Linked DNA regions of Arabidopsis thaliana. The protein of the gene in region 3 purifies or fractionates together with the protein of the main gene of each other region. This does not show direct contact. Each region holds a gene or a part of one and is shown on either strand. Other genes may lie near its edges.

Evidence for each region.
Region 1: the proteins of ERS (region 3) and AT2G12280 fractionate together in Arabidopsis thaliana (co-fractionation; one large-scale study listed by BioGRID). This does not show direct contact.
Region 2: the proteins of ERS (region 3) and AT2G12200 fractionate together in Arabidopsis thaliana (co-fractionation; one large-scale study listed by BioGRID). This does not show direct contact.
Region 4: the proteins of ERS (region 3) and THFS fractionate together in Arabidopsis thaliana (co-fractionation; one large-scale study listed by BioGRID). This does not show direct contact.

Annotation. Positions count from the first base shown.
Region 1 is NC_003071.7:4,918,747-4,925,139, forward strand, and holds AT2G12280 (P-loop containing nucleoside triphosphate hydrolases superfamily protein), read left to right. Parts: upstream 1-3,535; 5' UTR 3,536-3,577; coding exon 3,578-3,850; 3' UTR 3,851-3,933; downstream 3,934-6,393. Other genes in the region: AT2G12290 (uncharacterized protein), read right to left, coding at 5,354-5,755.
Region 2 is NC_003071.7:4,897,817-4,903,711, reverse strand, and holds AT2G12200 (P-loop containing nucleoside triphosphate hydrolases superfamily protein), read right to left. Parts: upstream 3,100-5,895; 5' UTR 3,062-3,099; coding exon 2,897-3,061; intron 2,795-2,896; coding exon 2,768-2,794; downstream 1-2,767.
Region 3 is NC_003076.8:25,627,003-25,636,003, forward strand, and holds ERS (glutamate tRNA synthetase), read right to left. Parts: upstream 6,208-9,001; 5' UTR 6,098-6,207; coding exon 5,853-6,097; intron 5,780-5,852; coding exon 5,661-5,779; intron 5,579-5,660; coding exon 5,457-5,578; intron 5,372-5,456; coding exon 5,189-5,371; intron 5,076-5,188; coding exon 4,957-5,075; intron 4,873-4,956; coding exon 4,824-4,872; intron 4,716-4,823; coding exon 4,614-4,715; intron 4,513-4,613; coding exon 4,410-4,512; intron 4,323-4,409; coding exon 4,259-4,322; intron 4,132-4,258; coding exon 4,017-4,131; intron 3,897-4,016; coding exon 3,796-3,896; intron 3,680-3,795; coding exon 3,523-3,679; intron 3,428-3,522; coding exon 3,194-3,427; 3' UTR 2,830-3,193; downstream 1-2,829. Other genes in the region: AT5G64030 (S-adenosyl-L-methionine-dependent methyltransferases superfamily protein), read left to right, coding at 1-17, 98-272, 364-636, 758-952, 1,027-1,255; PSAN (photosystem I reaction center subunit PSI-N, chloroplast, putative / PSI-N, putative (PSAN)), read right to left, coding at 1,688-1,807, 1,904-2,029, 2,108-2,407; NAC103 (NAC domain containing protein 103), read right to left, coding at 6,816-7,022, 7,114-7,542, 7,623-7,900, 7,994-8,150. UniProt on the Arabidopsis thaliana protein: Catalyzes the attachment of glutamate to tRNA(Glu) in a two-step reaction: glutamate is first activated by ATP to form Glu-AMP and then transferred to the acceptor end of tRNA(Glu).
Region 4 is NC_003070.9:18,698,398-18,707,178, reverse strand, and holds THFS (10-formyltetrahydrofolate synthetase), read right to left. Parts: upstream 5,298-8,781; 5' UTR 5,116-5,297; coding exon 4,960-5,115; intron 4,535-4,959; coding exon 4,385-4,534; intron 4,291-4,384; coding exon 3,115-4,290; intron 3,016-3,114; coding exon 2,869-3,015; intron 2,768-2,868; coding exon 2,492-2,767; 3' UTR 2,241-2,491; downstream 1-2,240. Other genes in the region: UBC20 (ubiquitin-conjugating enzyme 20), read left to right, coding at 876-991, 1,384-1,411, 1,498-1,725, 1,820-1,883, 1,969-2,028, 2,128-2,174; AT1G50470 (F-box associated ubiquitination effector family protein), read left to right, coding at 6,735-6,807, 6,887-7,179.

The DNA.
Region 1 (6,393 bases), on a different chromosome or scaffold from region 3:
ACATGTTTTCCATCTACTTTATACGAGTACGTTGCGACGTTTCTACGACAACAGGACGACTAGAGGACTTAGTCGGCCTGTAGTCGCCATATTAGCGACTAAATAAAATAGACGGTAGAATAGTCGTTAATTAGCGACTAAGCAACGACAACAATATCCCTTCAATAATATAATCGTCAAATAGTCGTCACTTGCCGACACTTTGCCGACTGCAGACGATAGTCGTAAAACAACGACTATGTGACTACAATTTTTCGTGTTGTCGCAGGGGAGTCGTAAATCCGTCGCCAACTAGTCGTATAATGTTACGACTACGTTTGTTGTCGCTGATTGTTCCGCCTATAGAGAAGACTGCTTCTTTAACCTCCTCTTCGGTAATCTTCTTTGTTAGGTCTGCATTCATATCTGCGGTTACTCGTTGTTGGAAGCCATTTAGAACATAGTAGTGATTGTTATTTGTCGTTAAGTCACTCCGAAAGAGCTTGGTGAAGAATTGTTGCGCCACTTCCCCAATATTAGAACTGCCTCTGTGTTCCACATTCGCATCGTCCAAGATAGAGTACATTCTGTTTCGTGCAGATCGTATTTTTGCAGAGGCAAAAAAATACTTTGTGTTACGGTCTCCACCTGACAGCCATGTTTTCCGGCTCTTAAGTCTCCAGAATTCTTCTTCAGCAGCATAAGCCTTCGACAGCTGCAATCTGAGCTCTCGGATGTGTTGAGTTGTTGTGCCATCAGAGTGAGCTCTATCAATTCTGTTTTTGAGAAGGGCTATATCTTCTTGGGCATTTGATCGATATCGCCTCTTCCATTGAGATATTTCTCTTCTGCAGGCAGTGAGTCGTGATCGTAGATTGTCGTCCTGGTGAAAGATTCTCCGGTTCCACCCACGTCTGACAGTATCACTGAACCCATCACGCTCAACCATTCTTCCATCAAAACAGAACTGGTTATGCTTCTGCTCAAAATCGCTCGTGATTGTTGTGATCACTGGTCGATGATCTGATTCTATTAACTCAAGGAATTCCATGTGGGATGCGGGAAATTGAGTTAACCATTCGTTATTCACCAAGGATCGATCCAAGCAGCAGGCAACATCATGAGTGTGTCGTTTTCCGACCCAAGAGAAAGGGTCTCCTGTAAACTTGAGATCATGGAAGTCACAGGTTTGTATCATTTTCCTGAAATCAAAGAAAGAGCTTTCTGGCTTCAAGTTGCCTCCTTTTTTCTCATGGTTGCCTCGTATTTCATTGAAGTCCCCTATAGCCATCCAAGGACCTGTTCTTTGTGTTGCTGTTCGTTCTAATCTTTCCCAAACCAAGTGTCTATGGATAGGATTTGGGTGACCATATACACAAGATAAATAGAACCCAAATCCATTAATATTAACAAAAGTATTTACAAGGTTTGGGGATTGATAAAGAACAGAATACAGAAATACTACTTTTCCACATTAAAGCAATTCCACCACTTAGATCATTTGGAGGAACCATTACAACCCTATCATAACCTACATCGCTGCAAATATCTCTGACGATGTCATTCTTTTACTTCGTTTCCATGAGAACAATGATGTCTGGAGAGAATTTCTTCTTTATCTCCTTTAGACGTCGAACTGCGAGGTCATTGCCCAGTCCTCTACAGTTCCAAGCGGCTGTCCTCATGGAGGAAGAGGGGGTTCTGGGCCCACCGCGCTTCTCCCCACGTCATTCGGCTGAACCGTCTCTCCGGAGCAACCACTGCTTTCCCCAGCCTCATGGATCACCATCTTAGAAGGCTCGTGTTCTTCATCTTCTTCGATGGTGTCCTCTCTCTTGTGTTTGCCCCTATCCGCTGCCACATCCTCACGAACATAGTCTCTGTTCACTCCATTATTTGTTTTCATCTCTCCATGGTACGTGGAGTAACGACATGGCTCCCAATCCTGGAAATCTTCCACGGCTTCATGATGGGCATTCATCACTAATGAGAGTTATTTTATTTATTATTGTCCACGTATTTATTTTGTTTTTAATGTATTTTTTTTTTTTTTGCCTTTTACAGTTCCTAATCCAGATTTAAATCTGGATATAACCCTATAAATTATAAGATATACTCGTCCACATAATATTATCAAGTTTTTTAGTTTTTTAGAAAATAAAAATCTATTCTAAAATTAGAGAGAAAATCAAGTGAGACAATTTTGTGCCTCACAAGTCACGAGATTACTTAGCTCGGAAGGGTTTTGGGCTCTACGTGTGAAAGGCATAAGATATTTTAGTTACTTTTATGCTTTACAATTTACATTACTAGAGTACAAACAAAACAACAGCTATCATGGATTTTTATGACATCATCAATTTACGTGTGTCATTTGAGATTTATAATCTTTACTTTATTATCACTTCTATTTTGTTTTAATGAGTTCAAGATCTTTTCTTGAAAGACATATGAAGACTTTAACCCAAAAAGCTAAGTATTGTCTTTGATGAAACTTTGAAATCGAGAAGTTTTCAAAATTTTAAACGATGTCAACCAGTATTTTTTATTTATAAAACAGTATTTTTCTCTAAATATTTGACAAGATTTTTTTACCCCCGCATTAGCTAAAACCCATTTTCGTACATATGTTTACAAACAATGTCCGCTCAACAATTTCATGGGTGTAGGATAATTTTTTTTTATATTTTGTTATAAAATTTTTTGTATGATAATTTAGTTAACAAAAAAAAAAACAATGCATTAAAAAAATTATAGGTCCATTCTAAATTTTATTTTTGTGTTATATCTAATTTTTAAAAATATTTTTAAAAAAATATATGTCCCTTAATTGTTAAAACATGGGTTTGGATTCTTGGCTGTCGCACCGCTTACCCCTCTATTTAAACCGGCACTGTTTACAAATTAAACATTATAGAAAATAATTCTTAAAAACCGGACTAAGTAATGAAAATTTTAAATTACAAAAATGAAGAATACTAGGAAGCGAGAACTAGGGAAGAAAACTTGAAGCACCACATTAGTCAAAGAGATCGAAGAAAGAAGCCATTCTCTAAGAAAATTTACCATTAAGATTGACTATGCACTTTATTTAAAACACTTGCCAATATATCTTTTTCAAAAGTTTTTTTTTCATAACTCATATTAAGACTTTCATCTTCAAATTAAAGGGGGATGAGCTTTCCGGATGATACTTAGACCTGAGTTGAGTCAAAATCGCATCTCCCTACAAACAAGTTCATCATAAACCAGTCGTAGGGTCCAAAGACTTTCACGATCCATTAAACTGACATCTTAGTGTTTAAAGACATTTTTCTTGGTGTTCTAAAACATATATCTTCTGAACATGGCTCAATTGTGACTCCTCTCAAGAAAATTTAAAGGACTTGGGGAGGACTATATTATTATTTTTAGTTCCCCTTAAATATCCACATAATAATTACTGTTTGTTGTTTTCTTTTTAATTCAAACATACACCATTCCAAAGAGACCTTTGATAGTTTTCTTTACTAAAATATTATTGAAAATTACTTATAAGATTTATTATTAACATGTTTTAGATTGAAAATTGCTCATACAGGCACATAAACAGATTGAGATGTACACACAACAAGGCTTCTCGAATCTTCCCATATGCATGTCGAAAACGCAGTACTCATTCTCACATGATGCATCAAAGAAAGGAGCACCTTCAGGGTTTGTATTGCCAATTCGGGATGTTAGAGGAAGCATTGGAGCTGGTTTCATATATCCACTGGTTGGTACAATGAGTACAATGCCTGGACTTCCTACAAGACCTTGTTTCTATGAGATTGATATCAGTCAAAGCTTCAAGGCTTCCCTTCACCGTCGTTCCTCACTTCCTCAATAAAAATTTGGCGATTGTACTTTGATACTGAGTGTTTTTCCTCTTTGAAATGAATAATAATAAAGTATCTTTTCCTGTTGATTAATTAATCTCTGAAATACTCATTATTTGAAGTTGAACTCAAGGTAACGTTACACATAGAACTTGTGATGTTCAAAAACAAAGCATAAAGCAAATGAGTGACAATGTTTTCTTTTGAAAAATCGTTTTATGTGAAATCATCAGAGGCATTGGAGATTTATGAATCAGAACATCTTGCAGAAATCATGCACTGAGAGGCACAAATTGGATGCCATGCCGAAATGAGGGCATCTCGATTCACGTATTGTGGGCCGAATAGTAAGGCCCATGGAAGATTAAAGTCAATTCAAATTCGAACGTTGAAAGCATTAAATCCAAAGACGGAAACGGAAGAGTTAAAAGAGAATTATGGTGTATAATTAAGAATAATTACTAGGTTTTTGTATAAATAAGAGAGGTCTTGGACCATGTAAGACACCCACAATTTTTCTAGCAATTTTCGATAGTCATTTTGATATCAATTTTTAGCTTTTACATTTTATCTTTGTCCTCAAAAATTAATCCATCTCACAAAACAAATAAATACTTGAGCGTGTGAATCCGACATCCACAACACTTTTGCCTGAAAAAATAATTAACATAAATGTAAAGTATCCTAACTTTCCCATTTTAAATAATATTGTTTATTCAAACTATCTTTAAAAAGTTTTGACAAATATACACCCAAAAGTATATTTTTGAAAAATCTAAAGTTGTAAGGTAATAAGGTAATATATCTAAGGTAGACTAAAGATATATTGAATAACAAATAAAAAATCTAAAGTTTTTAAATGACTCAAAATTGGACGGTATAGATGAATTCTAACGCCTATCATCTATATATATATACGACAAGGGTCTTTCTTATTTATCTCGATAACCAAACTATCCTCAGCTTGTGTAATCCTCATTTTGCCCCTGACTTTTGAACGGTCAAATAATATGAGCCGTTCGATCGAATATGAGATGAGAATTTTAAAATCGTAACCGTCCGTTTTTAACTTTGGCCATTGTCCCTGCTCTTTAATTTTATAATTAATTAATTGAAGCCAAATAATTGTGACCGTCAGATCGATATCAAAAGAAAGGAGTTGATAACATTCGTCCGATTTTATCAAAAACAAGGAACGAATGTCAGCCGTCCATTTTGTACCCTTCAGTAAACCCTAATACTCGTACCTAATTAACCTAATATAAATATAAAAATACGGTGCCGCTTCATATATTGTCTATCCTATTTGCACCTAAGAACTACTCTTTCCATCTCTAGGTTTTGTCTACAAGATTGGGATCTCATGATTGACAAAGAGAAAGGTAATTTAGTCAAGGCCGATAGATTTAAGTATGCGAAGAGAACCAGATTTGGGTACAGATTTGGGTATGTGAAGAGAGCCATGCACGGTACAAAGATAGTTATCAAATAAAGCTGTCAAGTATATTGACTTTTCAACACCATTCGTAATGTGAAGAAAGAAGAGAGTTGCAAAGTCCTCCTTCTTTATTAGAAGGAAATCTCATTCTCTTATTGTCTTTGTATGGGTGAAAGTGAGATCTATGGAAGGGAGTTAGTTGACCTGCGGAACCAGAGTCGATGGGAGACGCTGAAGCGGTTGGAAACGTTTCGAGTTGAGCAAGAACTTGGTCTAGGTTTGTTCGAAGAGTATTAGGGTTTGCTTTGTTAGTTTGATCGATACCACGCCAAATCTGATATTCGACGTAAAGACTTTTCACCTTCTCTTGTAAAACCCAATTTAGGTTTCGAATCCGTACGGTCCATTGTGAAGTTACTAGCGCGGTTTGGTAACACTTAAGTGAATTGTCAAACTCTCGCTGATTGTTACATATCATCAAATTTTTCTTCCTGCTTTATATCATCTAACTAGCTGATTTGAGATTCACAATCTTGATTCTCCAGGTTGCTCTGTATATTGGTGGTCTTTATGTTTGTGGAAAGGTTGGATTTTGAACTCTTATTCTTGCAAACAATGATCTTAGCTTTTGATTTGAAGCCATTGTTTGAGTTTTCGGTCTTGGTAATATACAACAATGTTAAAAATATGCAGGTTGGATTGGAATCTATAATGAAAATGGGAGTATAGACAAGAGAACTGTTCTTCTATGAGACATTTCTGTATTGTAACCCGCTCCTTCTCATTGTAAGTTACATTTCCTCTCAAATTAGTAGAGTCAAATTCTTTAAGTGTGTTTCCTCATGTATGCTATTTTGTTCAGACACTGAAGGTCTGCTGGCTCTGGGTGTTAATTTGTGGCTTTTTCTCGGTCTGGAGTTGATTATGCAGCAATCTTTTATCTAGGACCAGATCATCTTAGTCACAAAGAGATATGGAAGGTAAACAACTATTACTTAGATCATTTGTATATATTTTTCATTCGATTATTACATCAATGTAACCAATGTCACAGTGTGCCGGGTGGATGACAATAATTATATTGACTAGCATGACTGCTGATATGTCCTGGTTTTT
Region 2 (5,895 bases), on a different chromosome or scaffold from region 3:
GTGAAACTTCACGACCTGTTAGAATTCTTGCCTTTCTCCCATGTTCTATCTTTCCGTCAAACCAAGCCTTCTTGTTTCTATAACTATGTGTTGGTGCCAACCCTTTTCTATGACACATAAACACATGCTTTCTGCTATATTTCAACCACATACTATCTGTGCCTTTTCCACATAGAGGACAACCCATTTTACCTTTAACTTTACATCCAGCAAGGTTTCCATAGGCGGGAAAGTCACTGATGGTCCATAAAAGCATTGCCTTTAGAGTGAATGTAGTCTTACTGAAGGCATCATATGTTAACTCACCCTTCTTCCACAGATGGTTAAGATCTTCAATAAGGGGTTCTAAGTACACATCAATACTATTTCCAGGTTGTTGTGGTCCAGGAATAAGCAGGCTTAGCATTATGTTCTCCTTCTTCATACATAGGTCAGGCGGCAAATTGTAGTTTACTAACAGAACAGGCCAGCAACTATACCTAGTATTCTTCATGTTGAATGGATTAAATCCATCTGTTGAAAGGCCAAGCCGCAGGTTTCTTTCTTCAATAGCAAATTCAGGATACTTGTCATTCATCTTATCCCATGTAACAGAATCTACAGGGTGACGAAGTTTTCCATCAGTGCTTTTGTTACTATAATGCCACCTTAAGTCCTTGGCCATTTCCTCTGATCTGAACATTCTCTTAAACCGTGGAATTATCGGAAAGTATCGTAATACCTTCTGTGGGACTCCTTTCTTAGCTTCTCCAGTTTGCATGTTACTCTTCCACCGTGACGCATTGCATTTAGGACAATTTTCTAGATTCTTGTACCTCTTTCTAAATAGACAGCAGTCGTTTACACATGCATGAATCTTTTCATATCCCATATCAAAGCTCCTTAGAAATTTCTTGACTTCATACAATGATGTATGAAGCACATTGTCTGCGGGCAACATCTCTGGCAATGTTCCAAGGAGTTCATTGAAACTCTTATCAGACCAACCATTTTTGGTCTTGATCCTAAAAAGAGTCACTATAGCAGACAGCTTGCTGTGGTTTAAACAGCTAGGATATAGAGGTATTTCAGCATCTGCTAACTTTGCTAGAAACTCATCTTCTCTTATGTCCTCATCCTCTGCAATCTCACCTAAGTCAGCATCAAAACCTTGAGCTGCTTGGTATAGCTCCAAAATTTCAGCATTCCAACGACTGAAGTTGCTCTCACAGTCAGCCACTGAGTCCACGTCCCCATGATGATACCAATCAGCTCTCAACTTGTAAGCCTCATCCATCCCCCTTCTTACAAGATGATCCACCACATCGCTGCCTGACTTTCGTTCCACATTACGACAGTCTTTGCAGGGACATACTATCATGTCAATGTCTCCTAATGCAACAGCCACATCGGTTACGAATTTCTGAGCACCTTTCTCATATCCAGGATCAGCTCTTCAAGTAAACAGGAAAAATAAAAAACCTCTTAAAGCAACCAAACCTAATCAGAAAACTAACCCATATTAATTATCTGCTTACCTGCATAGACGAACCCATGCCTTGTCCAACATTATATGTTCTAAGCTTAATTAAAACCTTTGTAAAAGCAATTCAAACCATAAGCAACATTAAACTATAGAAGACAGTAACTCAAATCGCATCACAGACAAGTGCACTTGGACCAATATACAAACTTATCTCTTATCAAGTTCATCAAATTAAGAAATAAACAATGGCAAACACAATCGACAATATACTATCTCAGATTAATTCAAAGACACATGTTTTAGGACCAACAAATTACACTATCTCAGCAAATAAAACCAATCGACAACAATCACAGCAACTTCAGTGAAGAACACAATCGACAGTATACTATCTCAGATTAATTCAAAGACACATGTTTAAGGACCAACAAATTACACTATCTCAGCCAATAAAACCAATCGACAACAATCACATCAACTTCAGTAAAGAACAGAACAAAAGAATCACAACAACTTAAGTTCATACAACTCATAAGTAAAGAACAGAACAATTGAATCTGTCGTGTGACTAACCTGTAGTCGTGTGAATAGAAGAAGAAAAGTTTCACTTCCTCGACATTGCAATCACCAACACTTGATAAAAAAAAACGATTATGAGTATAAGTTGAAGCAAAACGTTTAAGAACTCTAAATCAAATCACAAATCGATGCATATAAACCCCAAAACGATAATCAGTATAAGAAAAAAGAAAAGTTTCACTTCCTAATTCCATTCAAATCACATTGCCCTAAATATAACAAATCGATGCATATAAACCCCAAAATCAAATCGTCACAAAGAACTAGGTCAAATTGAGAGTAAGACATGCCTTGATTTTGAGCTCAGTGGTGGCTGCGACAAGGTTAGAGCTCACTGGTGGCTGCGACAAGGTTAGAGCTCACTGGTGGCTGCAAAATGAAAGTCGATTCTATGAGATTAGGTCAAAATGCGAGAAAGATGGAAGCTGAAATGGATTAATAAGGAATAAGGAAGAAAGACTAACCTTGAATTTGAGCTCAACGGTGGCTGAGCTGGAGAATGTGGCGGCGGAGAATCCGAATTTCTGGCCAGCGACAGATCTTAGCTTTTAGGTTGAATCGATTTTGGGAGTGGATTCGACAGATCTAAGGCAAAAGTGAATAATTTTGGTCTTCTCGATTTTCTTAGGTTTTCACGAAGCTGTAGAGGGAAGTGAATAGTTTTGCTTAAGTGTTGGCGCTGAAGTGAATAATTTTACCTAAGTGTTGGCGGACTAAAGTATTTTACATTCCCGCTAGAGGATTTACGGTCTTAGCGTTTATAAGGTGCTATTAAAAAGTAACCAAAAATTTTATTCATCTTTTATAGCAGTTGAGGAAAATGAGCTATCCTCTACTGCTATCAATGAGGACTTTTTTTGTAGTGTATATGAAACCAGCTCCAATGCTTCCTCTAACATCCCGAATTGGCAATACAAACCCTGAAGGTGCTCTTTTCTTTGATGTATCATGTGAGAATGAGTACTGCGTTTTCGACATGCATATGGGAAGATTCGAGAAGCCTTGTTGTGTGTACATCTCAATCTGTTTATGTGCCTGTATGAGCAATTTTCAATCTAAAACATGTTAATAATAAATCTTATAAGTAATTTTCAATAATATTTTAGTAAAGAAAACTATCAAAGGTCTCTTTGGAATGGTGTATGTTTGAATTAAAAAGAAAACAACAAACAGTAATTATTATGTGGATATTTAAGGGGAACTAAAAATAATAATATAGTCCTCCCCCAAGTCCTTTAAATTTTCTTGAGAGGAGTCACAATTGAGCCATGTTCAGAAGATATATGTTTTAGAACACCAAGAAAAATATCTTTGAACACTAAGATGTCAGTTTAATGGATCGTGAAAGTCTTTGGACCCTACGACTGGTTTATGATGAACTTGTTTGTAGGGAGATGCGATTTTGACTCAACTCAGGTCTAAGTATCATCCGGAAAGCTCATCCCCCTTTAATTTGAAGATGAAAGTCTTAATATGAGTTATGAAAAAAAAACTTTTGAAAAAGATATATTGGCAAGTGTTTTAAATAAAGTGCATAGTCAATCTTAATGGTAAATTTTCTTAGAGAATGGCTTCTTTCTTCGATCTCTTTGACTAATGTGGTGCTTCAAGTTTTCTTCCCTAGTTCTAGCTTCCTAGTATTCTTCGTTTTTGTAATTTAAAATTTTCATTACTTAGTCCGGTTTTTAAGAATTATTTTCTATAATGTTTAATTTGTAAACAGTGCCGGTTTAAATAGAGGGGCAAGCGGTGCGACAGCCAAGAATCCAAACCCATGTTTTAACAATTAAGGGACATATATTTTTTAAAAAATATTTTTAAAAATTAGATATAACACAAAAATAAAATTTAGAATGGACCTATAATTTTTTTAATGCATTTTTTTTTTTTTTGTTAACTAAATTATCATACAAAAAATTTTATAACAAAATATAAAAAAAAATTATCCTACACCCATGAAATTGTTGAGCGGACACTGTTTGTAAACATATGTACGAAAATGGGTTTTAGCTAATGCGGGGGTAAAAAAATCTTGTCAAATATTTAGAGAAAAATACTGTTTTATAAATAAAAAATACTGGTTGACATCGTTTAAAATTTTGAAAACTTCTCGATTTCAAAGTTTCATCAAAGACAATACTTAGCTTTTTGGGTTAAAGTCTTCATATGTCTTTCAAGAAAAGATCTTGAACTCATTAAAACAAAATAGAAGTGATAATAAAATAAAGATTATAAATCTCAAATGACACACGTAAATTGATGATGTCATAAAAATCCATGATAGCTGTTGTTTTGTTTGTACTCTAGTAATGTAAATTGTAAAGCATAAAAGTAACTAAAATATCTTATGCCTTTCACACGTAGAGCCCAAAACCCTTCCGAGCTAAGTAATCTCGTGACTTGTGAGGCACAAAATTATCTCACTTGATTTTCTCAAATTTTAGAATAGATTTTTATTTTCTAAAAAACTAAAAAACTTGATAATATTATGTGGACGAGTATATCTTATAATTTATAGGGTTATATCCAGATTTAAATCTGGATTAGGAACTGTAAAAGGCAAAAAAAAAAAAAAATACATTAAAAACAAAATAAATACGTGGACAATAATAAATAAAATAACTCTCATTAGTGATGAATGCCCATCATGAAGCCGTGGAAGATTTCCAGGATTGGGAGCCATGTCGTTACTCCACGTACCATGGAGAGATGGAAACAAATAATGGAGTGAACAGAGACTATGTTCGTGAGGATGTGGCAGCGGATAGGGGCAAACGCAAGAGAGAGGACACCATCGAAGAAGATGAAGAACACGAGCCTTCTAAGATGGTGATCCGTGAGGCTGGGGAAAGCAGTGGTTGCTCCGGAGAGACGGTTCAGCCGAATGACGTGGGGAGAGGCGCGGTGGGCCCAGAACCCCCTCTTCCTCCATGAGGACAGCCGCTTGGAACTGCAGAGGACTGGGCAATGACCTCGCAGTTCGACGTCTAAAGGAGATAAAGAAGAAATTCTCTCCAGACATCATTGTTCTCATGGAAACGAAGTAAAGGAATGACATCGTCAGAGATATTTGCAGCGATGTAGGTTATGATAGGGTTGTAATGGTTCCTCCAAATGGTCTAAGTGGTGGAATTGCTTTAATGTGGAAAAGTAGTATTTCTGTATTCTGTTCTTTATCAATCCCCAAACCTTGTAGATACTTTTGTTAATATTAATGGATTTGGGTTCTATTTATCTTGTGTATATGGTCACCCAAATCCTATCCATAGACACTTGGTTTGGGAAAGATTAGAACGAACAGCAACACAAAGAACAGGTCCTTGGATGGCTATAGGGAACTTCAATGAAATACGAGGCAACCATGAGAAAAAAGGAGGCAACTTGAGGCCAGAAAGCTCTTTCTTTGATTTCAGGAAAATGATACAAACCTGTGACTTCCATGATCTCAAGTTTACAGGAGACCCTTTCTCTTGGGTCGGAAAACGACACACTCATGATGTTGCCTGCTGCTTGGATCGATCCTTGGTGAATAACGAATGGTTAACTCAATTTCCCGCATCCCACATGGAATTCCTTGAGTTAATAGAATCAGATCATCGACCAGTGATCACAACAATCACGAGCGATTTTGAGCAGAAGCATAACCAGTTCTGTTTTGATGGAAGAATGGTTGAGCGTGATGGGTTCAGTGATGCTGTCAGACGTGGGTGGAACCGGAGAATCTTTCACCAGGACGACAATCTACGATCACGACTCACTGCCTGCAGAAGAGAAATATCTCAATGGAAGAGGCGATATCGATCAAATGCCCAAGAAGATATAGCCCTTCTCAAAAACAGAATTGATAGAGC
Region 3 (9,001 bases):
TGTTGAAATTTGGAAAGGTTGTGAAAAAACATTATCCTTCTTTATCTAATTGCATTGGATCAGGTTTTCTCACACGTCATGTTGGCGACTTTTGCAGCTATGAGTGAACTCATTAAGAAGATGTGTTGGGAACTCGTATCCATTAACAAGGACACTATCAATGGAGTAGGTGTTGCTACTTACAGAAAGCCAACTTCAAATGAGTGCTACAAAAACAGATCAGAACCGGTGCCTCCAATTTGTGCAGACTCTGATGATCCAAATGCATCTTGGTATATTTCTTTTTCAGATGTTAATTACTGTGCTTAAAGAATCAGCTGGTCTAGGTTAACGAATACATGTTTTGATGTGTGGTTTTTGTAGGAAAGTGCCGCTTCAAGCATGCATGCACACCGCGCCAGAAGACAAAACGCAACGTGGATCTCAGTGGCCCGAACAATGGCCAGCGAGATTAGAGAAAGCACCGTTCTGGTTATCAAGTTCCCAGACTGGAGTTTACGGAAAAGCAGCACCAGAGGATTTCAGTGCTGATTATGAGCACTGGAAACGCGTAGTGACCAAATCATACCTTAATGGTTTAGGAATCAACTGGGCATCTGTTAGAAATGTGATGGACATGAGAGCCGTTTATGGAGGGTAAGTAAAACATGCTTTCCTCTCCGCTTTCAATTGAATTCAAATAATATAAGGTCAATCAAGAAACACTGTATTGATGTTTCCTGCATCTTTAATGTTTGTGTTGATTCTCTTGTTGCAGTTTTGCGGCAGCTCTAAGAGATCTGAAAGTGTGGGTCATGAATGTGGTTCCAATAGATTCACCAGACACACTTGCAATAATCTATGAACGAGGACTCTTTGGTATCTACCACGATTGGTGCGAATCTTTCAGTACATACCCGAGATCATATGATCTCCTTCACGCCGACCATCTTTTCTCCAAACTCAAACAAAGGTTTGTTTGTGTAACAAAGAGTCTCTGTTTCAAACAACAGAAACATAATACTTAACAAACTCTTTACTTTACAGGTGCAATCTAACTGCGGTGATAGCAGAAGTGGATCGTGTTTTGAGACCGGAAGGGAAACTGATAGTTCGAGACGATGCGGAAACAATACAGCAAGTGGAAGGCATGGTGAAAGCGATGAAATGGGAAGTTCGAATGACTTATTCTAAGGAAAAAGAAGGTTTGCTCTCTGTTCAAAAATCAATCTGGCGACCCAGTGAAGTGGAAACACTCACTTACGCTATCGGTTGAGAAGACTTACTTCAAGTCCCACTCTTTTTTGTACGTATAAAAACACTCTTATTAACTCCATATCATCCCTTTTTTTGTTGGTTCGTCTTTTAGGAAGTTCTTTTTTTTTAGCTGTTGAGTCATTTGTTTGTACTATTCGCACATTTTTGTGTTCTTGAAGGTGAAGAACTCTATTGAGGTTCTTTGGTAAAGTTAGATTACAGTGATATGTGTTACTCTATGGTTTCTTCTATTTGCTTGCATTGGTGTTAACTCCGTAAAACCAACTGAAACTTCTTCAATGAACATGTATGTATTCAGTCAGGTTTTTTATCTTAGGCTGAACTTAATGCAAAATAATGCATCCTAATCTCTCAATAGAGTTTTAGCTTGATAGATTCAAATGGATGCGAGAACTTTCATGAATAGAGAGAGATAGATACATTGTTGGATTTATATAAGAATAGATGAAAACAAACAAAGTTCTTCACCATTTCCAGAAAACATTGGAACCACACTTGTACTTGTCCTTGCCTTCGCATTCCAAAGCAATATCTTCTGAGATAAATGGAACTTTCTGCAAAACAGAAAACGAACAAGAACATCACAATCTCTTCAAGTTAAATATTATTCCCAAAGAAAAGAAAACGTTGTGGATATTAGACAAACCTTTTGCTTGGCAAGATCTTGGCAGCCAGTGAAATTCTCAGGGAACTTGCAGCTTCCGAATTGAACAGTGAATGCTCTCGCAAAGTTTGCTCCACTTGTTGCCAATCTCTTCTTATCATTAAGTTCCTATAATCAAAATTTCAAAAAATCCAAAACTTTTTAGGATCTTTAGCAATGTCAAGATTGAGGCATTCAAAGACTTACTTTGTTGGTTTTGCTCCTCTCGAGGTATTCGTCAATGACGCCAGCATTAGCAGAAGCAGAAACAGCAGCAGTGGAGAAGAGTGTAGCTGCTAAGAAAACCATGGCTGATCGTCTTCCATTAGATCCATCAACATCATCACCAACAACGCGTTGAGCTTTGATCACAGGCATAATCATCTGTTTCTTCTGACCAAACCCAACTGATGAATTCACCAAACCAACTTTCTGGTTAAGCTCTACCGAGCCAGAGCCAGCAATTGCGTAGCTGCAAGTGAGAACACTCGAGTTCATGGCCGCCATTAAAGATGTCTTTTTCTTTTGTTCTTGAAAAATTCAAGAGTTTTTTGAGTTTGATTGGTGAGTGAGCAAGGAAGAGATTAGATTTTAGTATTAGAGATGAATGAGGATGATGATGATGACGTGGACTAAGATGTAATAAGGGATTGTGGTTGGAGTGTGGATAAGGTGAGATTTCCCTTCAGTCCTATTGGCAAAAGTCCAAACCTTTTCTTATTACTCAAAGCTTCAAGCTTTTAAAGTTTGAGTTTTTCAGATTCTCTCTTCCAAGTGTTTATGTGGTTAGATTCACTTCAGTCCCCACCACACAAACTCTCTCAAAAATCACAAAAATCTCTGTTTGGTACTCTGTTTTCTTAGTCTGATCCGGTTTAACTGAACTTTATCCCGGTCAGGTAAAGATTTCGGATTATGACTCTAATTTGGCAAAGCCTATGTTTCATAGAAAGAACAAAAGAGAGCTTTTACCATTATAAGATTTTATCCTTAGAGAGAAAGTACAGTTAAACAAATAAGAAAAAAAATGACCAAAAAAAAAACAGACAAAGAAGAAAATGTTAAGAAAACAGAGCATTGAAAGCAAATTAAAACTGGCCTGATAATGTTACAAGCTCTCTGGTTTGTTCCTAAGTTTGCTTTGCTGATACATTATAATCTACAAATTTCTTTGTGCCATTTGTTTCGGGAAACAAGAAATGCACGAGGAATCAAAATCTCTGGGCTGTCTTTCTCTCACCAACTAACCAAATATTGAAGGAAAAAAAAAAAAAAAAAAAAAGGGGAGTTTTCTCAGGTTGATACTGTGGCTGTAGATTCAAGAGGCACACTCTCATCTTTGTTCAAAGCTTCCCAGTCTATCTCCCTAAGAATCTTAAACCGTTCCTCCATGGACACAAACCCAGCTTGAGGAACCACTATACCAGGACTTCCAGCTTTGTAAATCAGAACAATACTGGTGCCCATCTCAGGACCATGGAGTTTTCCCGTTAACAACACTCGTAGTGGCATGAAAAGTGATTTACCCTGTAACCAGCATCAGAAGAATCTCTTGTAAGGTTTGTTCACTCAAGTAAAGTAGATTTTGTTTCGGTATTAACTGCATTAGAGAGATGACTAACTTTGCGTTTCAAGGATTTGCCAAAGGCTTTCACCCATTTCTGCCAAGCACCTTGTCCTTCTTCTAAAGCGCTTGGAATCTCTCCGCTGTCATAAGCAGCTATGAGGCTGGCTGCTACTTCATGAAGTTTGTCTTCCACAGCAGGCTTAGCTTCAGGGCTGCATCAGGTGCAGCAAACTCAAATCAACACAAGCGCAGAGCTCCAGAAAACCGTAAAAAATATTTATTGAAAGAAAAGAGGTGATGCAGGAGGAACAAACGGTTTGATAGTTACCTAGCCAATGTAGCGTGTAGAGGATATGAAAGCAAGTTCAAAAGTACTTTGTCTGAATCTGTCACCAACTCAATCCCATCCTTGAGAAGCTCGACAGCTTCCTGTACTTCAACAACAAGCTCAAACTGGGTAAGTCTATACAGAAAAAATCTGTTGTTCCTAATTCCAAAGCTTTATGTTAGGATCAGAAGAAAGTGCGGAGTCATGATTAGAAACCATACATTTACAAAACTCCCCTCGGATTCTGTTAAGATACCAGCGCTCTTCCATCGCTCACCAACAAGTTTTGTTAGTTTCTCATTTGGAAGTGCCCTCAGATGTTGACCATTCATCCATCTTTGAGTTTATAAATATGCCACATTGAAGCTACTTATAAGAAAAAGGTAGAGAACAAACAGAGATACGAAAAACAAGAGAGAATAAGATTGGATAATTCAAACAGCTAAGTAAAATCTATAATCACCTTAACTTTGTTGAATCAAAAATCGCGCCACTTTTGTTGACACGTTCAATCGAGAATTTTTCAACTGCAAATCAAGAACAAACATTCAATGAAGAAATCAGAAAAGCTAGGGATGGCAACAAAGTAACTACAGTCAACAAAAACGACCTACCAAGATCCTCGAGTGTGAAGAATTCATTTTCAGTCCCGTCTCCCCAACCTAAGAGTGCCAAATAGTTAACCATTCCCTGAGGTAGATATCCCATCTCTCTGTACTGTTTTTTCGAAAGGGACATAAAGCAGAAATTAGATGAAGAATCAGCAATGGAGTAATCTATGATCTACGAGCAGTAAAGGAAATAACAGCTATAATCACCTGGCCTACAGAAGTTGCCCCATGTCGCTTTGATAATTTACTTCTATCCGGAGCTAAAATTAAAGAAACATGTGCAAATTGAGGCATCGGGAACTTAAGAGCCTGCCATTGATTGATACAGACAGCAATAAATCAAATTCTTCCTCCTATATTCTGGATCACATAACTTCCGAAAGCAATTGGAATAAACAAACATAAGCTAGTGCTTACCTTGTAAATTAGAGCCTGCCTCAAAGTATTAGGCAAGTGTTCTTCAGCCCTGAAATGAAAGTTAATAGATTTGATCAAGATAACATTCAAACATGTTAAGAGAAGAAACTCAAATTCCAAAAGAAGACACTACCTTATAACATGTGATATAGCCATGGTAGCATCATCTACCGTAACACAAAAGTTGTAAACGGGTTGGCCATTACTTCTCATTACCACAAAATCCCCAAGAGTATCCAAGTTCCAACAGACCTTCAAGACACTATCACACATGGTCAATTACAAGAAGGTACTATCGAGCTTTAAATAACAGTATCTAAACATAGATTGATGATTAAGCACACAAAAAAACCTATAATACTAACCTCGCCACGAATCAGGTCATTAATTTTCAAAGAGCCTTCCTTTGGCACACGAAACCGGTAAGTAAAAGGTGTTCCCTTTTCTAACTCTTGCTCTATTTCAGCATCAGAAGCTGTTGCCCATTTCCCGGTATATACTGGAGGCAACTGTTTCAACTTTGCATTCTCCTTCATCTTTACAAGTTCCTACATAACATAACAATTGATCAAAATCAACAGCAGAGTCAAAAAAACCAAGCTGAAGTTGTTCAGCGAATTTGAAGATAATCACCTCACTTGAGCAAAAGCATCGATAGACATGACCTGACTCTAAAAGCTTCTCTGCATATTGTTTATACAAAGCATTTCTTTCAGATTGCCGATAAGGACCAAAGTCTCCACTAACCCCAGGACCTGAAATTTCAAATCCCAATTTCATTACACCACCATTGGAAAAACACCTAAATTAGCACAGAGAAGAAGAAGAAAAAGCAACCTTCATCCCAATCAAGACCAAGCCATGAGAGATCCTGAAGAACAGCTGCTTCAGATTCACGTGTTGATCTCTCCAAATCTGTATCTTCAATTCTCAGCACAAATTTCCCTCCTTTAGACCTGTAGAAAAACTCCATCAGTTACAATCCCCAAAAACTCTCAATATTGTTCTGCTCTATATCAGATCACAAACCTCGCGAACAAGTAGTTGAAAAGAGCAGTCCTTGCTCCACCTACATGGAGATTACCAGTAGGAGAAGGCGCGAAACGAACTCTGACAGACCCACCATTGTTGACTGGAGTGGAACACGCAACCACCGCGAAGCTTCGCCGAGAACAGTAAAATAAAGAAGATTGACGCCGTCTGAGAAAAGCTGGAGCAAGCTCCGGTAAAGATCTAACCCTAAGCCACGGCGTCCCGTAGACAAGGCTCGCCATTTTCGTTTTCTTCGAAAGTTGAGATTTTTCAGAGGATAAAAGGATTTGATTAATCGGAAAGATGAAAGTCGCAAAGCAAAGCAACAAATTCGATTAAAGCCTCATAACTGTTTTAATTGTAAAATTACATCCCCATATTATATTTTCAACCTATTTACTCCCCAATTGACAATTGTAATGCTAAAATTCACTTATTAGGAAAGACACGTGGACTATTTGAGGAACGACGTCGTCTTGTCGTCTGGTCTGGAAAGTAACATTGTTCTAAAAGACCCCATAACCTTTGTTAATTTCTACTTACATCCTCGTACTATGTTTGCGAAGCAAAGTCAAAGTAATTGTGGCATTGTATTTCCCCAAACGACGACGTTCGTTCACATTCATCCTTATAGCCTGTGACTGAATTTTAATGGCATTATCATTGAAGCTAAGCTAAGAATCCATGGTATTACACTAGTTAAAGCGAAGGTCTTTGCCACATACATAAATGATGATGAAAATCTAAGACTACAGACAACGCAGTTGCAGAAACATAACATAGAAAGCTGGCTCCACTACTGGACGGTTTCAAGTTACTGATTCATGGTTTTGTCTCTTCTTTCGTGCAGACAGAGATGGCAACAATAGAAACGTTCTGGCTAAAGCTTCACATGTTTGGTCTCTGTTTCCATGGAGCATCAGACCAAAGCAAGAAAGAGCATAAGTCAGCACAAAATACTTAATCGTCCTTAGTCTGACCGTTGCTTCTTGAGTCATCAGGAATACTAGCTTGAGCTGGAGGAGAAGGAGGATGAGGAGTGGGTGACTGTATCAGATCCTGTAGCTCTACGACTTGGTCATTGCTCAGGTCAAACATTCCACTGAAATTGCCATCTCCTAAGAACACCGGAGCTTCCTTGTTTACAAAACCATCAGGATGTCTTACCTGTAGTTTCAGAAGCAATCAAAACAAGTTTCTTTTCAGGAACACTGAAATCTGATTCATCAAAAGCATGATGATGCAGAGACAGACTTACCTCATTATGGTAGTCGAAATCGTCGAAAAGTAAACAGTCGTCATTGTCAACAGAAAAGAGATCAAGCATCGAATTTAACTCGCCACCATCGAGAGATACTTGAGGAACCTCAAGAAGAGGTGAAGAAGAAAAGGGATTGTAAGCTATAACATCACTTGTTAGAGGTGGAAGCACTGTGGCAGTTAGTGGCGGCACATCAGAGACGCAAGATTCTGAGATCACTCCTGTCAAACCATCCTTAGGAGCGTACGAGTGTGAGGCCTTAGCAGCTAGACTGGTTTCTTTACTAGGACCAGCTACAAGATGATTCTGAGTATATTCTTCTTCCTTATCACTCCAATCCTCTTCCTTAAATGGAGCACCATATTGAGATCCATGTCTTGGTCCAAGTCCATTTTTCTTAAAGAGAACGCAAAGCACATAAGTATCCTGCAGGGCACAACAAGCATGTTTAGTAAACTTGCAAGGAATCAAAACGTTAAAAAAAGACAAGAACGAATCGTCATTACCTGAGGAACATTCTTTTGAGCCAGTACTTTGTCTTCAAGTCTATATTCATGTATGACCCAATCAGTCCGATCACCGCGAGGTATTTTCCCGTAGTGATAAATCAGAGTTCTTATCTTCCCAGTGACTTCGTCATTATAAGAAACATCTCTGTCTCTCCCTGTGGTCTTCCAGTAACCACATTCAGTAGAGCGGTTTGCCTTACCGCCTTTGGGATACTTCTTTTCTCTTGGACAGAAGAAGTACCACTTAAGATCTCCAGTCCCTAGACATGATTTGTCTGTACAATGTAAAGAAACCTCTGTTAGTAATCAGGAAATAAATAAGAAAGCATGAAACAGAACAAAGATTTCTGAAAGAATGAGTTAGTTACCGGGTAAATCAGGAGGTTCGAACTTGTAAATGTCGACCTCAGCAATGGCATCAACTTGGAACTTTTTTCCCATAACTTTCCTCTTCAAGTAGTATCTCACAAGTTCAACATCAGTCGGATGAAACCGAAAACCAGGTGCCAAGTTAGTTTTCCCCATTGGAAGACAAGGGGAAAACTTTCACTACACTAAGTAACTTCCCTCACCAGTAAAGCAAAAAACTCACAATAACAAGATCTAGCAGAGACAAAAAGCTAAGAAGAAGAAGAAAACATGATGGTCTGAAAGCACCACAACCTTCCTCTGCTCATATATCCACAGTCACACCAAAGAAACGATGGATTCTTCTTGCAGATATCAACAGACATCTGCTGTACAACACAAAACGAAGCACCTACACATAGAAGAAGACACTTTTCAATGAATGGGACTGTAACAACAAAAAACAAATTCTAGGGCTAATTCTGATTTTGTAATTTTGTTGTAACTGATCAAAATTTGGTAAGCAGATAGATAATCTCCACTGTAGAATTTAATCCTTTGATCAAGGGGAAGCATCAAAGTTGATGGAGCTAAGATCAAACCCAGAAATCAAAACCCCATTTTCAAGAAACAGAGAAGACGAGAGATTACATCGGAAACCAAAACGTACAAGTGAGAAACATTTCCGGCGTTAAAATAAACAAAGAGAGAAGATAAAAGAGAGGAGAAGTCGCACCGGTAGGGGAAGGAGAAGCGGAGGAACAGAAAACTTTGGTCGGAGGAGAGAGAATGAGAGTATAGCTTGAAGGAGAAGCCAGGGGTAGAGTAAGTGAGTGATGGGGTTTAGGGTTTATATAGATCTAATTACGCGTTTATTATTACAGAAATAAATTATTTTGCAATTCAATGATAAATCATAAATGTAATCGGCCAAAAACCAAAATGTATAAAAGTTAACTTTTTTAGTGTGTTTTTTTTCTTTTACTTCTAGTTGTGCGGGTTCCAAAAGCTATTACCATATACCATAA
Region 4 (8,781 bases), on a different chromosome or scaffold from region 3:
TGATCAAATGCAATATTGCAATGTATCACAAGATTAGTTTTCAACATAACAAATACTTAAAAGTCCAAAAACCATAGAGATAAAAAAAATTGTAAATAAGTTGGATAATTTATTAGGTGTGCTTTTATTCATTTTTATTAAATAATATAATATTTTTATCGAACTATTTTAAGATATTCTCACGCTATTTGTACAAATCACCACCAACGGAATTAATTATACTAGATAGATAAATAGGAAGATGGAATGTTGGTTTTACAATAATAATATTTACTGTATAAAAAACAATATTCAATATCCTTTTTTGTCACCGAATATCTTTCTTATTACTAGTATGATAACAATTTTGAATTGTTTCCAAAAACTATATTAGAATACAATGTTCTTTTGTTAATAATATATTAAAATACAATGTATCAAAATGATTATGTTTTTTTCCTCTTTATGTCTATATGCATTACATTTGTCAACAAAAATTAATTGTTTCTTCTTTCAGATTTAGAATTAAAGAAAGAAGCAAACTAGCCGTTAGTTAAACGAAATTCAAAAGCTTCCAAGCGGCGCTTGTTTGCTCTCCAACGTTCACTAACAAATCCGCTTTAAATTTTCCCTTTTCTTTTTTATTCCATTTAAAGTCAAAGCGACGTCGTTTTCTCTCACTCATACGCCGTTTTATAACCAACCTCAGAGACTCTCATCGATCGATCTCTCTGTCTCTCGCATCGGAAGTACGAAGAAGGATCTTTGTTTTCTTCCTCTTCTCCTTCTTCTACTTTCGAACACTCGTGAATCTGATTCTACTCTAGTCTAATTGGGTGCTTTCGATTTCTGAATAAAAATTCGATTTTGGTCTGACGATTAAGAAAGCGAAAGTGATGGCCGCCGTAAATGGATATCAGGGAAATACTCCGGCAGATCCTCCGGCGTCTAATGGATCAAAACAACCTGCGGCTCCGACCAAGACTGTTGACAGCCAATCTGTTCTCAAAAGGTACTTTTCTTTTCCTCGATCTTGTCCCAACATTTCGATACCAATTCAAATGTAATCGCCTTAGTCTTTTGCCTCGTTTTTGGATATATCGTCGCTCCAATGTATCTTCTTTAAATCCATTTCATGGTTTGTTATTATTTGGCTATTACGCATATCCAGTTCTCGTGGTTAATGTACTGTTATGGATCCGTTAAATGAAGTGGGAGACTTCTCATATATGTTTGCATATAAACTGTTTGTTAGAATGTCTCTGAGAGAATTAAATCTTTAAGATGTTCTTTGTATTCATCTTGAATCAGATCTACATTTTATTGCTCAAAGTTTCGGTTTTTTAATCATGAGTTCAGTAAATCCCAGATTCCTAATCTAGGCTTTTCTTTGATTAAACGCAGACTGCAATCTGAATTGATGGGCTTGATGGTAAGTTATCATCTTTCTTCCTTTTTAGTGAACAAGTTTCTATAGTAAAGATTTGCTCATAGGGTTCTTGACTTGGTTGTTTTCAGATGGGCGGTGGTCCAGGAATATCGGCTTTCCCTGAGGAAGACAACATATTCTGCTGGAAAGGGACAATAACAGGAAGCAAAGATACTGTGTTTGAAGGAACTGAGTACAGACTCTCACTCTCTTTCTCCAATGACTATCCTTTCAAGCCTCCAAAGGTTAAGTTTGAGACATGTTGCTTCCACCCCAATGTTGATGTCTATGGCAATATCTGCTTAGACATTCTTCAGGTAAAAATATACCTTCCTCTTGTGTCTTTGTTCTACACTGAATCAGAGAAGACGTGCCAAAGTTAATCCGTTTACAACATTTTCATATTTGCAGGATAAGTGGTCATCTGCTTACGATGTGAGGACGATACTACTATCGATTCAGAGCCTCCTGGGAGGTATTCTATGGTGCATAACTTTTGATTTCTTGTTAGCCCTTTTTGTTGGTTAATCCAATATCTGATACATGTTTTCGTTGATCAGAACCGAACATCAGTTCACCATTGAACACTCAAGCAGCTCAGCTTTGGAGTAACCAAGAAGGTAAACAGACAGGGGATTTAACAGTCGTTATGAAATCAAACTTCTTTAGAGTACCACAGTTATGAGTTTCTTATGTCTCTTTTGTTTCTCCATACGCAGAGTACAGGAAGATGGTTGAGAAGCTTTACAAGCCTCCAAGTGCATGATTTCTGCAAGCTGTTCTGATTCATAAATCTCCAATGCCTCTGATGATTTCACATAAAACGATTTTTCAGAAGAAAACACTGTCATTCATTTGCTTTATTCTTTGTTTTTGAACATCAGAAGTTCTATCTGTAACGTTACCTTGAGTTCAAATAATGAGTAGTATTTCAGAGATTAATCAAAAGGAAAAGATACTTTATTATTATTCATCTTAAAATGGAAAAACACTCAGTATCAAAGTACAATCGCCAAATTTTTATTGTGGAAGTGAGAAACGACGATGAAGGAAAGCCTTGAAGCTTTGACAGATCTACCAAACTTAAGAAAGGCCACGAACTTTTCCAGTTTCAGTGTCAATATCAATCTCGTAGAAACAAGGTCTTGTAGGAAGTCCAGGCATTGTACTCATTGTACCAACCAGTGGATATATGAAACCAGCTCCAATGCTTCCTCTTACATCCCTAATTGGCAATACAAACCCTGAAGGTGCTCCTTTCTTTGATGCATCATGTGAGAATGAGTACTGTGTTTTCGACATGCATATGGGAAGATTCGAGAAGCCTTGTTGTGTGTACATCTCAATCTGTTTCTCTGCCTGTATTTTACATATCACAGGATAATAGATAAGTTACATAAACAGGTTTCTTTTGACAACAATGCAAAGAAATTGAAGAAGTCGGTCTAGGAATCAATCACCTGGTCTGAATATTCAACACCACTGGCTCCATATGACTTAGCTATTGCCTCAATTTTGTCTTTGATACCAATGTCCAATGGGTAGAGAAACCTGAGGGGCTGTGTAATGTTTTGACAAGCTTTTTCAACCGCGATACCAAGATCCACCTATAACATTTACAAGAACAATTCATCTATCAATAAGATGAGATTGCAAACAAAATTGCATATAATCACATAGTGTTGGTCTCGAATAGAGAAGATTACCGCTCCTTTACCACTATGAGCATGGTGGGAGCAGACCACAGCATCAAAAGCACCGGCATCCATTGAAAATTTCCTAACTGCATTTAGTTCTGCTTCGGTATCTGTTGCGAACATATTCACAGCAACAATTACATTCACACCGTAGGCCTTTGTGTTTGAGATGTGCTTTGCCAGATTCACACAGCCAGCTTCAACTAAGGAAACATTCTCGCTTACATAAGCACGATCAAGAGGTCTCCCGGCAACAACATCAGGCCCACCTCCATGCATTTTCAAAGCCCTAACAGTCGCCACAACAATTGCACACTGAGGCGTTAGCCCACTGTAACGGCACTTAATATTCATGAACTTCTCTGTTCCAATATCAGAACCAAAACCCGCTTCAGTTACCACAAATCCACCAGGTCCCACCAGCTTCAAAGCGATTTTATCAGCAACAATCGATGAATTTCCATGAGCTATATTTGCAAAAGGACCAGCATGCACTAGAACAGGGGTCCCTTCCAGTGTCTGCATGAGTGTCGGGTTAATAGCGTCTTTCATCAGAACAGTCAAGGCTCCTCCAACACCGAGATCATCTGCTGTTATCGGATCCCCTGCCTTGCTGTTACCAATCACCATTTTACCAAGCCTCTCTCTCATATCACCTAGTGAGGTTGTCAAAGCCAAAACAGCCATAATCTCACTAGCAACAGAAATGTCAAAACCAGTTTCTCTAGTCATCCCCTTTTCCTCAGGTCCCTGACCAATAGTAATCTTCCTCAAGAACCGATCATTAACATCCATCACTCTTCTCCAAGTGATAGAAGCAGGATCAATATCAAGCCTCGCAAACTTCTTTATCTCCTCGGGAGTAAGCTCCTCAGGACTGGTCTTGGATATCCCAAGCTTTGTCAATCTCCTGAACATAATGTCACTGAAACTACGCTTCCCTTCTTTATTCGGAGGGCACAGCCTATTAAAAAGAGCCTTGTCGGATTGAGACGTCTCATGGAAAATCCGAGTGTCGATTGCAGCAGCTAAGAGGTTGTTGGAAGCGGTAATCGCGTGAATATCTCCAGTGAGATGAAGATTGAACTCATCCATAGGAATCACCTGACTATACCCACCACCAGCTGCACCTCCTTTGATTCCAAAGGTGGGTCCTTGTGACGGTTGGCGAAGACAAGTAACAACCTAAGCAACAACACTTCACAAATCAATACAAAGAGAGAAGTTTGTCCAAAAGCAAGCATAAGGCATAAGCTAATAAATGAAAGCAAGAGAGAACCTTCTTATCGAGGTAAGCGCCTAAGGCTTGGCAAAGTCCAACAGTGGTAGTACTCTTGCCTTCTCCAAGAGGAGTAGGAGTAATCCCTCCAACAACAACATAGTATCCATCTTCTTGTCCTTGAAGCTCATCAAACGCAGACAACAAAACCTACAAGAACAAATCATCAGTTGATTAGCTCAGAACACTGAACCATTGGTTTAACCAGCTTCTGATGTTTTTGGTGAAACTAAAGTATCAATCTTGCCCACCGACAAAAAAGAAGTAACAGCAAATTAACAAGAAAAGAGAGCTACTTGGTAGGAAAATGGTAATATGAATCCAAAATCAATCGAAAGTTATAAACTTTGAGCTTACGTAACTGCCTACTCAAGCTCCAAAAACTCAATCATTAACAATCTCTTGAAAATTTATTTAAGTTTGATCGAAACCAATTCGAACATAATAGTATCTTATAACCAAAAACGGAGTTCTTTTGGATCCTTGTACCGACAACAACATAGAGACAGAGGAAGATTCAGATGAATAATTTAATTTTCAAAGGGAAATGAACAAAAGGGAAAAATGATGATTACCTTAGCTTTATACTTGCCATAGAGATCGTAGTGAAGAGGGTTGATATTAAGATCTTTGGCAATCTCAGAGATGTGTAAAGGCTCGACGGAATTAGCTATGTCGATATCGGCGGGAACTGGTGAAACAACCTCAAGCTTTCTTGTTGATGAACTCATCGCACTCTCTGTCGAAGTCTGATCTCGCGTTGGAGGATGAGAAGATGGATGAGGGACTCTGATGAATTGATGATGTTTTATAAAACTTTAAAGCACATCCTAATATATTACAGTAAGTAGCAAATACATGTTTAGATCATTATCCATATTAACCAATGAGAACGATGACGTTTTTGTTTTTTTCCCTCTTTTTCACCTCTTAATAAATATATTTTCAACACACATAATTATTGAAGGCCAGAAAATGACGGTTTCGCCCTCGATCTATAAGCGCAGCCACTATAGTTTAGTTTGGCCCACTGTTGTCGTCAATTTAAACTAGTACTATACTAGAAAAGAGAATGGAACTCGGATTTGTTAGGCTACCAATTTTCTTTAATCTTTACATAATACTTCTTAAGACTGTACTATTAAATTTGTTATTTTTAATAAAATACTGTTGTTTTTGAACTATTCCAATACAGTTTCTATAGATTTACAGGAAGCCACATTTCTTTTCATTTAAACCATCATTTTCATTGCACCAATACTATTTTATTATACAACGATGATAGTTTTTGTCAACATGTATAATGTATTGGGGTGAACGGATTCCGAGGTGTCTTGATAAATGGTGCCAATTTTTCCTCTCGACAGATATGGTGTATAGAGTTTTAGACTTAGAATTGAAGAGGCACGAGAGGGTCAACTATTGATGAATCAGTAACCTTGAAGCAATATATATTTTAAGCAATCTATATAAAAGCCCTATGGAATATGTCTAGGACTAAGCCTTCTTTGCGTATCTTACATAGTGAAATCGATGTCATATTAGTCCATTAACATAAAATGGGCTTACAGCTTTAGCATTTTCTGACCCAAAATGAGGCAAAGAAACGACGTCATTTAATATAAAGTTATCCATCCATTTCCTAAAGAAGATAAAATGGATGCAACCAAAGAGAATCAGAATTTTGATTTAGGATGGGTTTGACATTCTTATTGTGTGATAGATAACGTAGTTTAAAAGCAATACAAATGTAGTAGATCAAGTTGAAACAGAAAAGAAAGAAGAACATAAAGAGAAGAAAATCCCAAATAACAATGATATGATGATGCTGCTGAGAATAATAAACAGAAAAGGGCTATTCCAAAGGAGGAGCTCGATGCTATCAATGATGCTGAAACCTTTTTTGCAGAAATCTTTTTCCGGGAAAGTGTGTCAAACACAAATTTAGGGAAAGTGGTAGGTTTAGTGAAAAGTGATATTGAGAAGAAGAAGAGAAGCAGCATGCAAGAGACAAGTTTAATGAAAGTGATAGATACCAAAACTTGTATGAGTTTGGTTGTATGAATACTTGTATTTGTATTGAAAGATATTGTCTTGCAAAAATTTGATTTTTTTTTTCTTGAGAACCTACCATTGGAGGACATTTTTGTTAAGATAGTTTCTTTGAACCTACCATTGTGGTTTGGGACCCATTCTAGAAGAAAACCATATGGATCCAACCGATAAATCGTCATGACAAGATATTCGAGGTCTATGCTCTCGGTTACAATAACAAGGACTTGTGCCATAACTACAAAATCTTGAGGTTTATAGATATATGCTTGGAAGTCTATGATTTTAGCTCTAATTTATGGAGGAGTTTCTTGATGTCGTCTCTCCCGAAGACGACTTAGTATCCACTGGCAAGTCGTTGAAGGGAAATGGTTACTCATTGCTCAGTTTTGTTTTTTTCAACAGAGAGGTTTCAACTACTATGTGTGCCCTTTCATCAAGAAGCTGCAGAAGTAAATGATATTAAGGCTCTCTCAGTTGTTAGAGAAGAACATCTCTCCTTATTATATCAGAGTGCAAAGAAACTAAAGATGGATATAAGGGTGACCAATGAGATTGAGACAGTGGATTTAAAACCCCATGGTTGTTTGTTTTCGAGTTCCCTAAGTTTCCACATTGACGAAGAGAAGAAAGTTGCTGTTTGCGGTGAGAAAGTCATATACAACAAGATATACATTGTTGGAGAAGATAAATACACAAGGTATATCGATCTTCTGGTTTCGGTAGCTTTGATGGTCGGTTAAGTGTGTTTACGTATGTTCAAAGATTGATTTAAATCCAACAATATGTAATATCCTGTTGGACATTGATCATTTTGTATATATTATCATCTTAAATGTTTTATTCACATCTTCTGGATCTAATAAAAAAAAACATAACAAGATTTAATTTGACTAGTCCAGAGAGACAAGCAAAGTACCTTTAAAAATAATGAGAAAGTCTCATAGTCAATTAGTCATAGATTCCTTGTAAAGAGGTAGAGATTTGCATGATTCAGCGTCAAGCCGTCAATCATAATATTACTATACCGATCGAGCTCCTTCTTTTAACGTTGATTTATTATATTAACTAGGTGAACTTCCTTGCATTGTATTATGCATATCTATGAGATTTTTTCGGTGTTTAAGAAAGTGATAAGCGCGGTCGGTGACCCTTCGCCATAACGTTTAAAACATTTAGTCGTAGTCTGAACGATTTAAATCGTTTTAGAATAATTTATATATTTATATTACTATATGAAACTATATTTAAATTTCATATAGTAATATAAAAATAAATTTCATAAAGTATTAGTTTTTTTTCAATTATTTGTTACTTGACTTGTACTTGCAAGTATCTAAATTATACTACTTGTTAGAGCATCCCCATTGAGGAGTCCTAATTAAGGACTCCTTACAATTTTTTAATAGTAAATTTTGAGTAAATGAGAGTTTAGAGTTTTTGGTTGAAACTTTATAATTTTTACTGTCCAATAGTGGAATTCTTAAGTGAAATCCTTAAGTGAGAAATTTTTATTAGTTTGTGAAAAAGAGTATTTATTGGGTAAAATGAAGAGTGTGTATTAGGTTAAAGAAGAGTGTTTATTTGGTGAAAGAAGAATGTTTATTGGGTTTGTTGTAGAGAACAAGAAGAATGGATACTTAAAACAATAAGAGTGGATAAAAGAAGAGTGTTTTGGTATGCATACACAGAGACTTCAAAATTTAGAACAATGAAAACAAAATTATTGTTTAGCATACAAGTGAGGTCATAGAATACACAATAAGAACTAGTGTTCGGAATATTATTTGTGGTGTACAAGCATTCAAACCAAAGTACAAACTTATGGTGACTTAAAACATGTGGTCTCTTTTTAATACTAGTAATGTCAGCACTGGAGTGATTTAGAGAAGGTGGAACTTCTTACGAACACTATTGAAACACAACACACTCACACTGAAGACTGAACATTCACAAATAAGAAAACATAGAATACTTAAACTAAAGATTAAGACAACAGACATACAAGTCATATTGAACTTAAAGTAAAGACAACAGACATACAAGTTATCTCAGCTAAAACCACTTAGAGATACACGAGAGAGAGAAAGAAAAAAGTAGTTTGGGAATGGGCAAAGAAAAAAAATACGGGAAAAGAAAGAAAACTTGTTTTATTGTCATCCAATATACCCAAAAATACCTTAAACAAGGTTCGCACCTTGGTTTATTTCACTATTCTGATTTAATTTTTTGCTTTTATTCATAAGGATTTTCTTTAAAAACTTGCAAAGTCCCTGCAATGGACATGCTCTTACTTGTCTTGTTAACAACGCGTACCAAATAGCTAGTATAGGACGAGTAATAGT